3 linked regions of the Mus musculus genome follow. The protein of the gene in region 2 binds, or shares a complex with, the protein of the main gene of each other region. Links are inferred from orthologs where the notes say so. Each region holds a gene or a part of one and is shown on either strand. Other genes may lie near its edges. The genes, in order: Prkab2, Prkaa1 and Prkab1.

What was found.
Region 1: the proteins of Prkaa1 (region 2) and Prkab2 are in contact, whole or in part, in a crystal structure (PDB 4RER), measured with the Homo sapiens proteins. The link is inferred for Mus musculus from reciprocal best matches to the Homo sapiens genes PRKAA1 and PRKAB2. Residues at the interface, in NP_006242.5 of Homo sapiens: Gly20, Val22, Lys40, Lys42, Asn59, Arg60, Gln61, Lys62, Val69, Arg73, Val93, Ile94, Ser95, Thr96, Pro97, Ser98, Asp99, Ile100, Met145, Met175, Ser176, Asp177, Gly178, Glu179, Phe180, Arg199, Leu200, Ala202, Pro204, Glu205; in NP_005390.1 of Homo sapiens: Val80, Arg82, Ser84, Ser108, His109, Asp111, Ile115, Ser138, Asp159, Phe160, Glu161, Val162, Ala165, Leu166, Ser182, Ser184, Gly190, Gln191, Glu192, Met193, Tyr194, Ala195, Phe196, Glu199, Arg201, Lys203, Ser204, Pro205, Pro206, Ile207.
Region 3: the proteins of Prkaa1 (region 2) and Prkab1 are in contact, whole or in part, in a crystal structure (PDB 6C9H), measured with the Homo sapiens proteins. The link is inferred for Mus musculus from reciprocal best matches to the Homo sapiens genes PRKAA1 and PRKAB1. Residues at the interface, in NP_006242.5 of Homo sapiens: Gly20, Val22, Lys23, Ile24, Thr32, Lys40, Lys42, Asn59, Arg60, Ile63, Arg64, Val69, Ile72, Arg73, Ile76, Gln77, Val93, Ser95, Thr96, Pro97, Ser98, Asp99, Ile100, Phe101, Met145, Met175, Ser176, Asp177, Gly178, Glu179; in NP_006244.2 of Homo sapiens: Pro79, Val81, Arg83, Leu103, Pro104, Thr106, Val113, Ile115, Asp159, Phe160, Glu161, Val162, Phe163, Ala165, Leu166, Met167, Val168, Asp169, Ser170, Gln171, Arg201, Ala202, Pro203, Pro204, Ile205, Leu206, Pro207, Pro208, His209, Leu210.

Annotation. Positions count from the first base shown.
Region 1 is NC_000069.6:97,664,608-97,668,254, forward strand, and holds part of Prkab2 (5'-AMP-activated protein kinase subunit beta-2), read left to right. Parts: intron 1-1,974; coding exon 1,975-2,108; intron 2,109-2,751; coding exon 2,752-2,820; intron 2,821-3,647. UniProt on the Homo sapiens protein: Non-catalytic subunit of AMP-activated protein kinase (AMPK), an energy sensor protein kinase that plays a key role in regulating cellular energy metabolism.
Region 2 is NC_000081.6:5,171,248-5,174,894, reverse strand, and holds part of Prkaa1 (5'-AMP-activated protein kinase catalytic subunit alpha-1), read right to left. Parts: intron 688-3,647; coding exon 463-687; intron 1-462. UniProt on the Homo sapiens protein: Catalytic subunit of AMP-activated protein kinase (AMPK), an energy sensor protein kinase that plays a key role in regulating cellular energy metabolism.
Region 3 is NC_000071.6:116,017,828-116,021,474, forward strand, and holds part of Prkab1 (5'-AMP-activated protein kinase subunit beta-1), read right to left. Parts: intron 2,641-3,647; coding exon 2,547-2,640; intron 2,292-2,546; coding exon 2,177-2,291; intron 255-2,176; coding exon 121-254; intron 1-120. UniProt on the Homo sapiens protein: Non-catalytic subunit of AMP-activated protein kinase (AMPK), an energy sensor protein kinase that plays a key role in regulating cellular energy metabolism.

The sequences.
Region 1 (3,647 bases), on a different chromosome or scaffold from region 2:
TAGAGAACTGCACACCTTATCCACTGAGCAGATCTCTTGTTTGCAAAGAGAATGAAACAAGGTCTCTTGTTTGCAGAGCCTGCCTTGGCTACTAGTCATGCCATCGCACACCAGCTCCCAGCAGTAAACTCGAGGGCTTGGACCCTCAGTGAACCTCAGTCATAATTACTGATACAGAGCCCATGACAGAGTCTCTAGGACAAGGGACAAGAAGTCCATGGCACAGTAACTACCTACTTAGAGTTAGTATATAAACTCAGAACTAACGTTACCGTGAGCGTTCTTACCGGCTGCGGGTGCACTGATCTTAAAAGGTTTCAGTTCTGAGGCCACTAGATCCCTGATTACCTTTTGATCTGCAAGTAACCAGTGAGCAGGTGACAGTAGCGGGAGGACAGCACACTTTGGGTGCACGCGGTTTCCTAGCCCAGTGATGTAAGGCATAGAGCGTTTATTAGGAATGTACAGATAGTGGGTGTGGCCATGTGTGTGACTTTTCAACGTCCAACTTGTATATGTTAGTATAAAGGACAATGCGTGAAAATTGCCCTGTGTTATTTGCCGGTGGTGTTTTGTGGATACTGAGCAGAACACCTGAAAGTATTTTGAAAAGTTACCTGTTGTGTCTATTGTTGAGTTTTGTTTAATAACAGAGCATTGCTTTGCCTTATATACTTATATATTGAAGCAAATCTGAGTTATTAAAATAATCTACTACTAAAATGTTTTCTCTGGAGCTATAAAATGTAAAATTTTAAAACAATAAAAACATAGTTCATTTAATTTTGTAAATTTAACCTGAATGCTTTTCACTTTTAAGTATAATCCAGATACCATGAATTTATCTTTTTTTTTTTTCTTAGTATATTGAGTTTTAGAACCATTGTCACCTCAAAAGAAGGACTATCTCCATCCCTTTCTCCTTTGTCCTGTGTCCGTCAAAGCTTCTGCGGTATAGCTTTGCCTTTTCCAGACAGTTGGTATAAATATAACCACACATTGTGTGGCTTCTTTCACTGTAGCAGGCTGCCTTCCAGGGCTCAGCCTTGTTGAAACATGTATCAGTACTTTGCTTCTGTTTGTGGCTGAGCAGAAGTCCACGGTATGACAGTTCCTTTTTGCTTCTCCATCCGTTGTTGACAGACATTTGGGTTTTGTTTCCTCTTTGGGGCTCTCATATATATTGCTTATAAACAGTTACGGTGAGGTTCTTGCGTGGGCTTATATTTTATCTGAGTTGTTACGCTCAGTAATGTGATTACCGGGTTACAAAGTTTGTTTAACTATTTGAAGACAGCTGTACTGTTTTTCAACGTGTTTATACTATGGTGCATTTCTGCCCACAATGGGAACACCGTAGTTTGGGGCTTTGAGTTTCTCCACGTTTCCTCCAGTCTTTGCTGTTTCAGAGACAGACAGCCATCCCAGTGAGTACGGAGCGTGGTCCTTGACTACACTGCATGCTCTTGACTGCAGCTGCGTGTGTTCTGTCTGCTGTAATCGTTATGGACCTAGAGTGTATAACGTTGCAGTCTGTCACTTTGGCAGGGAAAAAAATATGAACTCTAATCTCTTCACACTTTGTCCACACATCATCTTAACCACTCTCATTTTTATCTCCTCAAAAGCATTGTCAATGAAGAAGACATTTATCTGTGGATAAGTAAACTGACCAAAAAAAGGGGATCTGTCCAAGGTCACATGGCTGACAGCTGGTGGTGGTTGCCTGGAGCCTGGGCCCTGGCCTCTCATCTCTTCCTTACGTCACGCTGCCCGTTGAGAAGCTTCCTGGTCCATGCTCAGGTTGATTCAGACGTTTCTTTTTTACCCTGACAGCTCCAGCTGCAGTAGGCCACGAGTTCTTACGCTCCAGGACTTGTATTGCATTAAGATCAACGACTGTGCAGTCATAGCTCCCCCACGCATCCTCACTAATGCTTCAAGTTTCTTCACATTTGCATAAATATTTTTCAGACCTGTCCAGCTCACCCCCTGGGCCTTACGGTCAAGAAATGTATGTGTTTCGATCTGAGGAGAGATTCAAATCCCCACCCATCCTGCCCCCTCACCTACTCCAAGTTATTCTTAACAAGGACACGAATATTTCAGTGAGTATCCTGAGCAGGTTGCTAGAGCATGTGGGGATCCTTAGGACCATCAAGGCCAAAATTAGTAACCTCGGGCTGGAATTGTGTCACAGTTGTGTCATGATTACGGCAGTCGGCCGTGTGCACATCAGCACAGCACGGTGGAATCCTTTTTCCCAGACTGAACTATAACTTCTTTAGGTACCATTTGCAAACTTTATAGATGTCTGTTTCTAGTTTAATCAAAACCAAACTGCTAGAGTTGGTATGTGTTCTGACTTCTATTACAATACAAGATAAGGGGTACTCTCATTGGGGGAAACCCAGAAGTTCACAACTTTATATTAAATATTTTTAACCACGATTTCACTTAGTTGATAGTTCCTTGGAAGATTTTTTTTTTTCCCTTTAACCAAACCATCTGCATTTCTAAGCAAGGTTTTTGTTTTAATTCTCTTAGAGAAAATTAGCGGATGTTGGGGCTTAGCATTTCTGTGCTAGTCTGAGGATTTTTCGATCTTATCATCCGGGAATGCATGGCTTGTGGGAGACAAAGTATTCCTATTTAGAGTTCCCAACATTCCAGAGAGCTCTGGGGAAGAGTAAGCTGTTTGTTTTGTCTGTGTTTAATCACATTTGGCGCCGGGGGTGTCTTTTCTCCTAGTGTGACCCAGCCTTACTTCCTGAGCCCAATCATGTTATGCTGAACCATCTCTATGCACTGTCCATTAAGGTAAGTGGCGGCCCCGGTCCTCCACAGCCTCCCCGTGGAAGGGTAAGGGTCCCTCCAGCTCTTCAGCGGTAACTCACTCGCTGCTGCTTCTAAAGCTGCACTTGGCCCTGACGGTCAGATGGTAGATGGGCCGTCTCTTCCTAACTTGCAGGCCGTTGGATTTAAACCTCAGACTCTGGTCTGTGCGGGGACTGAGCTGTCAGTCATGGAGTCTTTCTGCTTCTAAGTTCCTTTGGGTGGCTGGACCCTTTGTCTCATCTGTTTCCTTAAGCTTGAGTTCATAGTGGTTGGAGTCCATCTGCAGGAAATCAGGTTTAGCTTCCTTCAACAAATACTTGAATGAGACATAAAACTTTACCTTTTAAAATGGGGCGTCAAGCTCCTTGCCCTGTCCTAGTTGTATATACCCAGGTGTGCTCCCATCTCTTACATAGTAGGAAGGGAATCGTGTGACTGGAGGTTCCCTGTCTTTCCCACCCCTGCCCTAGAGTCCTTAGTTTCTCCATTGCTTTAATGTCTTTGTGGCTTGGCTGTTGACTTAGAAGTGTAGTTCTGTGACTGTCTAAGCTGAGCCTCAGGTTGTGAGCCTTCAGATTGAGTGCTCTCATCCCCAGAGATTGTGCATACACACATCCAGGGTACTCCCAGTAGTTTCCCTATAAGCTGCTTGTATTTCTTAGATGTGCAGCCTGAGCAGAGAGATCTAGCCTTACTTCTGATAGAGCTGACTTTAATAGAGTGTGTGGTTGTATATAAAATCTTAATTCACTGAGTTTTATCTTTTGGTAACATTGAGAGGTATGTACTATTTTTAACCCCTGTTTTAT
Region 2 (3,647 bases):
GTCATTAATAAAATGAAATTTCAGCTGGGCGTGGTGGTGCATGCCTTTAATCCCAGCACTCGGGAGGCAGAGGCAGGCGGGTTTCTGAGTTCGAGGCCAGCCTGGTCTACAAAGTGAGCTCCAGGACAGCCAGGGCTATATAGAGAAACCCTGTCTCGAAAAAACCAAAAAAAAAAAATAAAAATAAAAATAAAAAATAAAATGAAATTTCTCTGGTATCTAGAGACTCGAAAAGGTAGAAAAATACATTGGTTTAAAAATCACCTAATATTGCTGTGCAATGGTAATACCACGCGCCTTTAATCCTAGCACTGCACTCGGGTGGCAGAGGGAGGCAGGGCCAGCCTTGTCTTTAGAGTGAGTTCCAGGATAGCCAAGACTACACAGTCCAGACAGACAGACAGACAGACAGACAGATGGTTTGTTGGCTGGTTGGTCAAGTAGGCAGATAAAGTGAGTTACCTGATATCTTTTATTGCGGCCCTCTTCATGGGATCCACCTGCAGCATATGTTTCAAAAGGCTGATTACTGAAGGGTTTAAGTACTGAGGGGTATAAAAGATCCCATCACATATCTTCTTAAAAAGAGTTGGCACATGGTCATCATCAAAAGGGAGGGTTCCACACAGCAAAGCATAGAGAATGACCCCGCTGCTCCAGATGTCCACCTCGGGGCCTGCGTACAATCTGCATAGAGAATGCTAACTGTATTAATCACAATATCAAAAAGCATCGGTCAACACTCTTCAAATACAAATACTTTATGAAAAATATAAGAAAATAATTTTTAAAGAAATCAGTGGTCAGAATATGGTATCTATAGTGGTTGTTGCACATCACACATAAAGATACTAGTCTTATCAGTATTACCTGTTTAAAAATAAGCTATTTTGTAACTTGTGATCCATGGGTCAAATTGTACTACCTTACTATGACCCTCAAACTTCCTACCAATAAGGTCAACCCTTGAGCCATCATGATCAATGTTGATTTGAGCCACAGGGATAGTTTTTTTTAAGTACCTTTTTTGTTCCCCCACCCTCACCTTTAAGTAACTTTTAGTGTGTGTGTGTGTGTGTGTGTGTGTGTGTGTGTGCACATGCATGTGCGTGTGTATGGTGTGCACATGCCACAGTGGGTGTGGAGCTGAGATGACAGCTCTGTGGAATCAGTTCTCTCCTACCTTTACCCAGGATTCAGGGGTCAGACTCTAGGCACTTGGCAGCAAATGTTTTACCAGCTGAGCCAACTCGCTGGGCCCATGATTCAAGTCTGTAGTGACAGACTCTGAACCCATTTCTCCTAAAACCCTCACATCACAGTTCAGGAAGCTGGAGCTGCAGAAGCAAGCCAAGGGCAGTGGAGCTCACAGAACACTCGCCCTCTTCGTGCGTGAGTGCGTCTACGTGAAGGAAGCACTGGAGACACGGATTCTAACTAGCTGCAAACCAGCTGAATCATCCGAGGCTGCCTTCAGGGGGAAAACGAACCCTCAGAGTGACGAGAGTGCTTCCTTCCTATAGACAGCAGTAAACACTGTTCTCAAAATGAGTGCTCCTATTCACACAGACCTCAAGGAAAGACATCCAAACTGTACATTTCCCCAAGAGCCCATTTTATGCATGCTTGAACATGACGCATGCCTTTTTTCTTTAGTTATATTCCCTGTAGCATCTAGATTTTGAATTTTTCTCAAATCAAAGGAATTAAGATAGAAAACACAAATGAATCTTTTTAATTCACTTCATTACCTTTTCTTTGAGCAGTCAAAAAAAAATAAGCACATGAACATAGAAAGCACAGGGATTTTTTTTTAAATTAGGTCCATCACCATTTGAAGCATTTAAACAAGGAAATGGTTGAGGTGGACGGGATTGTGGGCACTGGCGAGCAACAGGCCTCCCCTACCTCATTAGTGTTTCAGCAGCAATGAGGAAGCAATGTGTTTTTGTTTGCTTTGACTTTTACTTGTTTTTTATTTCTTTCTTTGCTTGCTTGTTTTTGCAAGAGCATTTTATTTATTCCCAAGCTGGCCCTGTCTCACTAAGGAGCCTGAGCTGGAGACAAACTGCTGTCTAACCTCCTGGGTAAGGTGCACCACCAAGCCTAGCCAAAGCGTTGATCTTAAAAATAAATTCTCTACGCCAGCAAGATTTTGCTGAAAGGACCCTGATATAGCTGTCTCTTGTGAGGCTATGCGGGTGCCTAGCAAACACAGAAGTGGATGCTCACAGTCAGCTATGGGATGGATCACAGGGCCCCCAATAGAGGAGCCAGTGAAAGTACCCAAGGAGCTGAAGGGGTGTGCAACCCTATAGGTGGAACAACATTATGAACTAACCAGTACCCCGGAGCTCGTGTTTCTAGCTGCATATGTATCAGAAGATGGCCTAGTCGGCCATCATTGGGAAGAGAGGCCCATTGGTCTTGCAAACTTTATATGCCCCAGTACAGGGGAACACCAGGGCCAAAAAGGGGGAGTGGGTGGGTAGGGGAGCAGGTTGGGGGAGGGTATTGGAGACTTTCGGGATATCATTTGAAATGTAAATGAAGTAAATACCTAATTTTAAAAAATGGAAAAAAATAATAAATTCTCTGAGCTGGAGGGATGTCTCAGCCATTGAGAACCTGCGCTGTTTTTATAGAGGTCCCTGGTTTAGTTCTCACCCCCCCCACACACACACACACACAAGGCAGCTTACAACTGCCCGTAGCAATAGCTGAAGGGTGAGGATTGGGGGGGTGGGGTTGGGGGGCTCTGACCTCTGTCAGCACCTACACTAATGTACACATACCCTCACACAAACACACATACATATATGGTTTAAAATAAAGTCTGTCTTTTAAATTAAATTTTACAACTTTAAGCAAATATCTTTTCCCAGACCACTACCCCACTTCCAAATTTAGGCGTGCCTTCTCTTTGTTAATGAACTGTCTCTATCACAGAGGAGGAAGAGGAGGAGGAGGGAGAGGAAGGAGAGGAGGAGGGAGAGGAAGGAGAGGAGGAGGGAGAGGAAGGAGAGGAGGAGGAGGAGGAACTTGAACCTTGAACAAAACAAGGAAATAAAACACAAATTAAATTTTGTTTTCACGCTATTTAAAAAGTAACTAATGAAAATACATCCGTCCTTTAGTGCTAGATAGTAGTTCAGAGTTCAGCAGTCTTACACTTCAATCTCTAGCAGATCTAGATCAAGACTGAACATAAATGAGTCTCTCTCCTTCCTTCTCCCTTTTTATAACCCTCTTGCCCCTCACCTCACCTCGATTTTCCTTGATACCAGGCCTATATAGCCCTGTCTTGGCATCCATGTGCGATACTCAGGCTATAGGCATGCAATACATTCAGCTGGTCTGTTTTTTTAAAGGACCACTTCTTTAGTTTCCTTCCTCATAAAACATGAAGCTACTACATGAATGCCAGCTATTTGAATACTTATACAACTACACGTGACGTTACACTTGTAACTCTGTTCTGCTCTCTGTGCGGTCTAGTTTGGTTTGGTTTTCTTGAGATGGTGTCATGAGAAGGTGTAGAATTACCAGCAAGGATTGCCCATCATGTTACATTTTTTAATGTTCGCCTAAGTAAAGCATTCCTCGGGAGTGAGTACTGCAGTAGGCAGGTTCTCAGCGGCTTATCC
Region 3 (3,647 bases), on a different chromosome or scaffold from region 2:
ATGTGAATCTTTCACAATGTCAGGGGAGGACCACAGCAGTCCCCAACAGTGGAAGGCACAGGAGTTCTCCACTGTCTTTTAAGAAGTGAGCAGAAAGGAGCTCCAGATGGGAGTACTCACAGAGATGCCCGTGTCCTTGTTCAAGATGACCTGCAGCAGGTGTGGCGGGAGGATGGGCGGGGCTTTGAACCTCTCTTCTGGTTTAGACATGTAAGGCTCCTGGTGGTAGGGTCCTGGGGGCGAGCTGGACAGCTCTGTTGGGAGATGTCGACAAGACACTCAGACTGTAGGCTCTGCAGCTGCATTTGATGCATGGGGCCCTCATCTAGCTTTCTGTCCTGATTTCCTCAATCCAGGTTTGTATTTTCTTCAAAGACATTCAAGCTCAAACAGGGAAAACCAGAGGGGATGAAAAGTGCCCTGGAACCGGGGTGCTCGGGATAAAGCTCGACGCTACCTCGAGAAGCTCAGTGGAAGGAAGAGCAGCTGTGGCAAAGCCTAACAGGGAAGCCATCCCCCATAGCCTGGCCTCTCGTCAGCACAGTAAGGCTTCCTTCTTACTGCAGGCTGAGTTTGGCAACTGCCACAAGTTCTGGGCTTCAAGTGGGGATTAAGTGGCCCAGCCTAAGTTACCAAGTCTCCCAGGCAGAATAAAAGAAGTCTAACGAGGTACTGATGCACTAAAAAATAACCATAAAGACCAACGTGTAAAGGATCTTTGGCTCTACACTCCTGGGTCTGAGTGTTTTCACTATGTAGGCGCAGTAGAAGCTTCTGGAAGCACAGTACCTTGCCTTAGAAGCACCTCGAATCATGACAGCTGGCTGGCTAGATAGAGGATGGCACTGAGCTGTCACCCGAGTGTCGGGAAGGGTTCTGGCTACCTGACCCCTAAGCTGGCCCAGGGCTGCTTTAACTTTCTCAACATCAATTTCTAGGTCAGGCTCCCTTCACACCTCAGCACAAGAACTGAGAAAAAGCACTCGATGCAGAAAGCTGAGCTGTAAGAAATAAATACATGGCATTTAAAAAAAAAAAAAACAAAAAACAAACCCAAACAAGCCACTTGAATGTCTAACAGGAAGTTTAGAGCTGATCTGGCTCCAGCAGCAGGGGGCGGTGCACTTTCTGCCTGCAAATGATCAACCAGACCTTTAGCTGAAGGCTCTGTTGAATAGTGTGAAGTTCGTGTCAGAAGCGTGTGCACTGCCTCCAGGCTGCACCCTTTGCCTGTCTGAAATGTGTAAGTGGTCATCCAGGAATGGCCGATAACCCCAGTAAGAGAGCACTGTTTTTAGATTTCTAAGCCTAGATCTGTAACCTTAACCACGGCCAGCCAAGCCCACCAGTCAATTACAGCTGTGGAGTCAGAAGTGCTAACTGTAAGAGATCCCAGAGACACGGAGGTGAGGGTGGGAAAGCCCTCGGTAAACTGATAGCTGGCTACTGCTGAGAGCTTATCTTACTGATTCCCAGAACTGCTGCCCAGGAAGCAGCCCACACACAAAGAAGGGAAGCACACCTAACGTCCATCTGGATTCTAACACACAGTTTCTCTCCTGAGCTGTCCCTCTGACCTTCCAGGGATTCTCTTCCTCCCAGATGTGGTCGGAACAAAGGTCACCGAAAGCTCCGTGCTTAGAGGACTCTAGTTTACCGTGACTGAGCACAACAGGTTTCCAGAAAAGAGCGTTGTGCCATGTGGCCTGTTTTCTATGGGGAGTCACTTCCAGTCAAGTGTGAATGGACGGCACCAGTGACAGCCAAGGTCACCGAGGTGGCGTTTATCACCTGTCAGCCTGCAATTCTCCAGGCACCACTGGCAGGACACGAGCTGGCAGTTTCCCTGGCAGTGGTTCACTACTGACCCAACGTGTCCTCGTGGGTCTCTTCAGGCCTGCCTATGGCATAACATCAAGTGTAGCTCTGTTCTAAAGCCAAGTGGAACTGCAAAATATCCCATAAGGCAAGGGCAGTGACTTATGGTTTCTTTGGGGGTTAAACTCCAACAGCCAGGGCCACTGGAATTAGGAAGGAACTGCTGTGGTCCGGAGAGCTACAACTGTCCACCTGGCTGGGCAGCTTTTGCTCAAGTGTGAGAGGCGAGGGAAACAGAGTATGTCCAGGCCACAGAGCCCCAGCCTGCACACACGTGGGATAAAGTAACTGTTCATACCAGACACATCGGAGCACTTTTGGGAATCCACCATTAAAGCATCAAATACTTCAAAGTCAGTTTTCTTCACTTGAATGATGTTGTTAACTGTGCCAAGCTGGCTGGTTACTATTGGCTGGGAAGAGACAGATAGGCAGAAATCATAACGTGGAAGGTCTGTGGATTCTTCAGAGGACTAGAATTCCTGGCTGGAAGGCCTCACTGCCTGGTTAGCGACTCTTGGTTAATTATACCAATGAGCTGGTAACTGGCGCTATCTAACTCAGAGCCACACGCAGGGAAGAGGGTCCTGATAGCACGCCACAAGGGAGGTGATGGGTGCTGGTTGTGCAGGTAGGTACTAGAGGGCCAAGGGCTGCAGGCAAAGTACCTCAGAAGGATCATGGGTCCACTGTCCATCCACGAAGAACTTGTACTGATGCTCTCCTTCAGGCAGGTCCAGGATGGCTACAAAGTTATTCTGGCTGCAGGAAGAAAGGAAGTAGAATTTCAGCTGGGTGGGCTGCCCTCTGACTCCAGGTATAACCAAGAGTTTGGCTGCAGGATGGCAAACATGGCAACCAATTCAGACAATTAATTCTTGGTCACGGCCACTAATGGAGCAGCAGGAAACTCACTTTGCTCAGACACTAGGAACCTAGAATCCTAACACTGGAAGGTCAACAAATGGCTGTTCATACCTTCCAAGTCTCCACGCAGAATACCACCGGGCGGGCAGGCGGGCTGGGTGCCACGGAGGTAAACATAGGCTGCCGAGCCATCCCTTTTGTCAGTGTGCCATGACAGGGACTGAGCCAGCGTAACAGGGCACATAGACGTTCTCCACACAGACCTGTCTAACTACCCCGCCACTCCTGAGATTGCTGTGGACTTGTAGCAGCCCTGGAAACACAGGGACACTGACAACAGTTGGGCTCAGACCAGCAGGGCACGGGCTCTCCCTCTGTTTACCAGAAGTAGTCACTGGTAAAGGCGCGATGACAGGAGTCCACACTAGGGTTTTTTTGTTTTGCTTTGTTTTTTTTGTTTTTTGTTTTTGTTTTTTTCGAGACAGGGTTTCTCTGTGTAGCCCTGGCTGTCCTGGAACTCACTTTGTAGACCAGGCTGGCCTCGAACTCAGAAATCCGCCTGCCTCTGCCTCCCGAGTGCTGGGATTAAAGGCGTGCGCCACCACTGCCCAGCCACATCAGGGTTTTGATAAATCGTCTCACTGAACCCTTGCTAATGATGTCTTCAGAGCATGGAACTTCCAACCTTCCAAAAAATAACACACAGGACTCAGTTAGAAGGGATCCAGGTCACCTGGTCCAGGAGTCCGATACAGAAGTGACCGTTCCATGCAGTAATGGGCTGGGATCCACACCCCTAAGGGTCCCAGCCCAGCGTTCTCTCCAATGCACCGGGAACAACTTTCTCAGAAGAAATGTATATCTAAATGTCAGAGCATAGCACAGAAATATCGTCCGCCGAG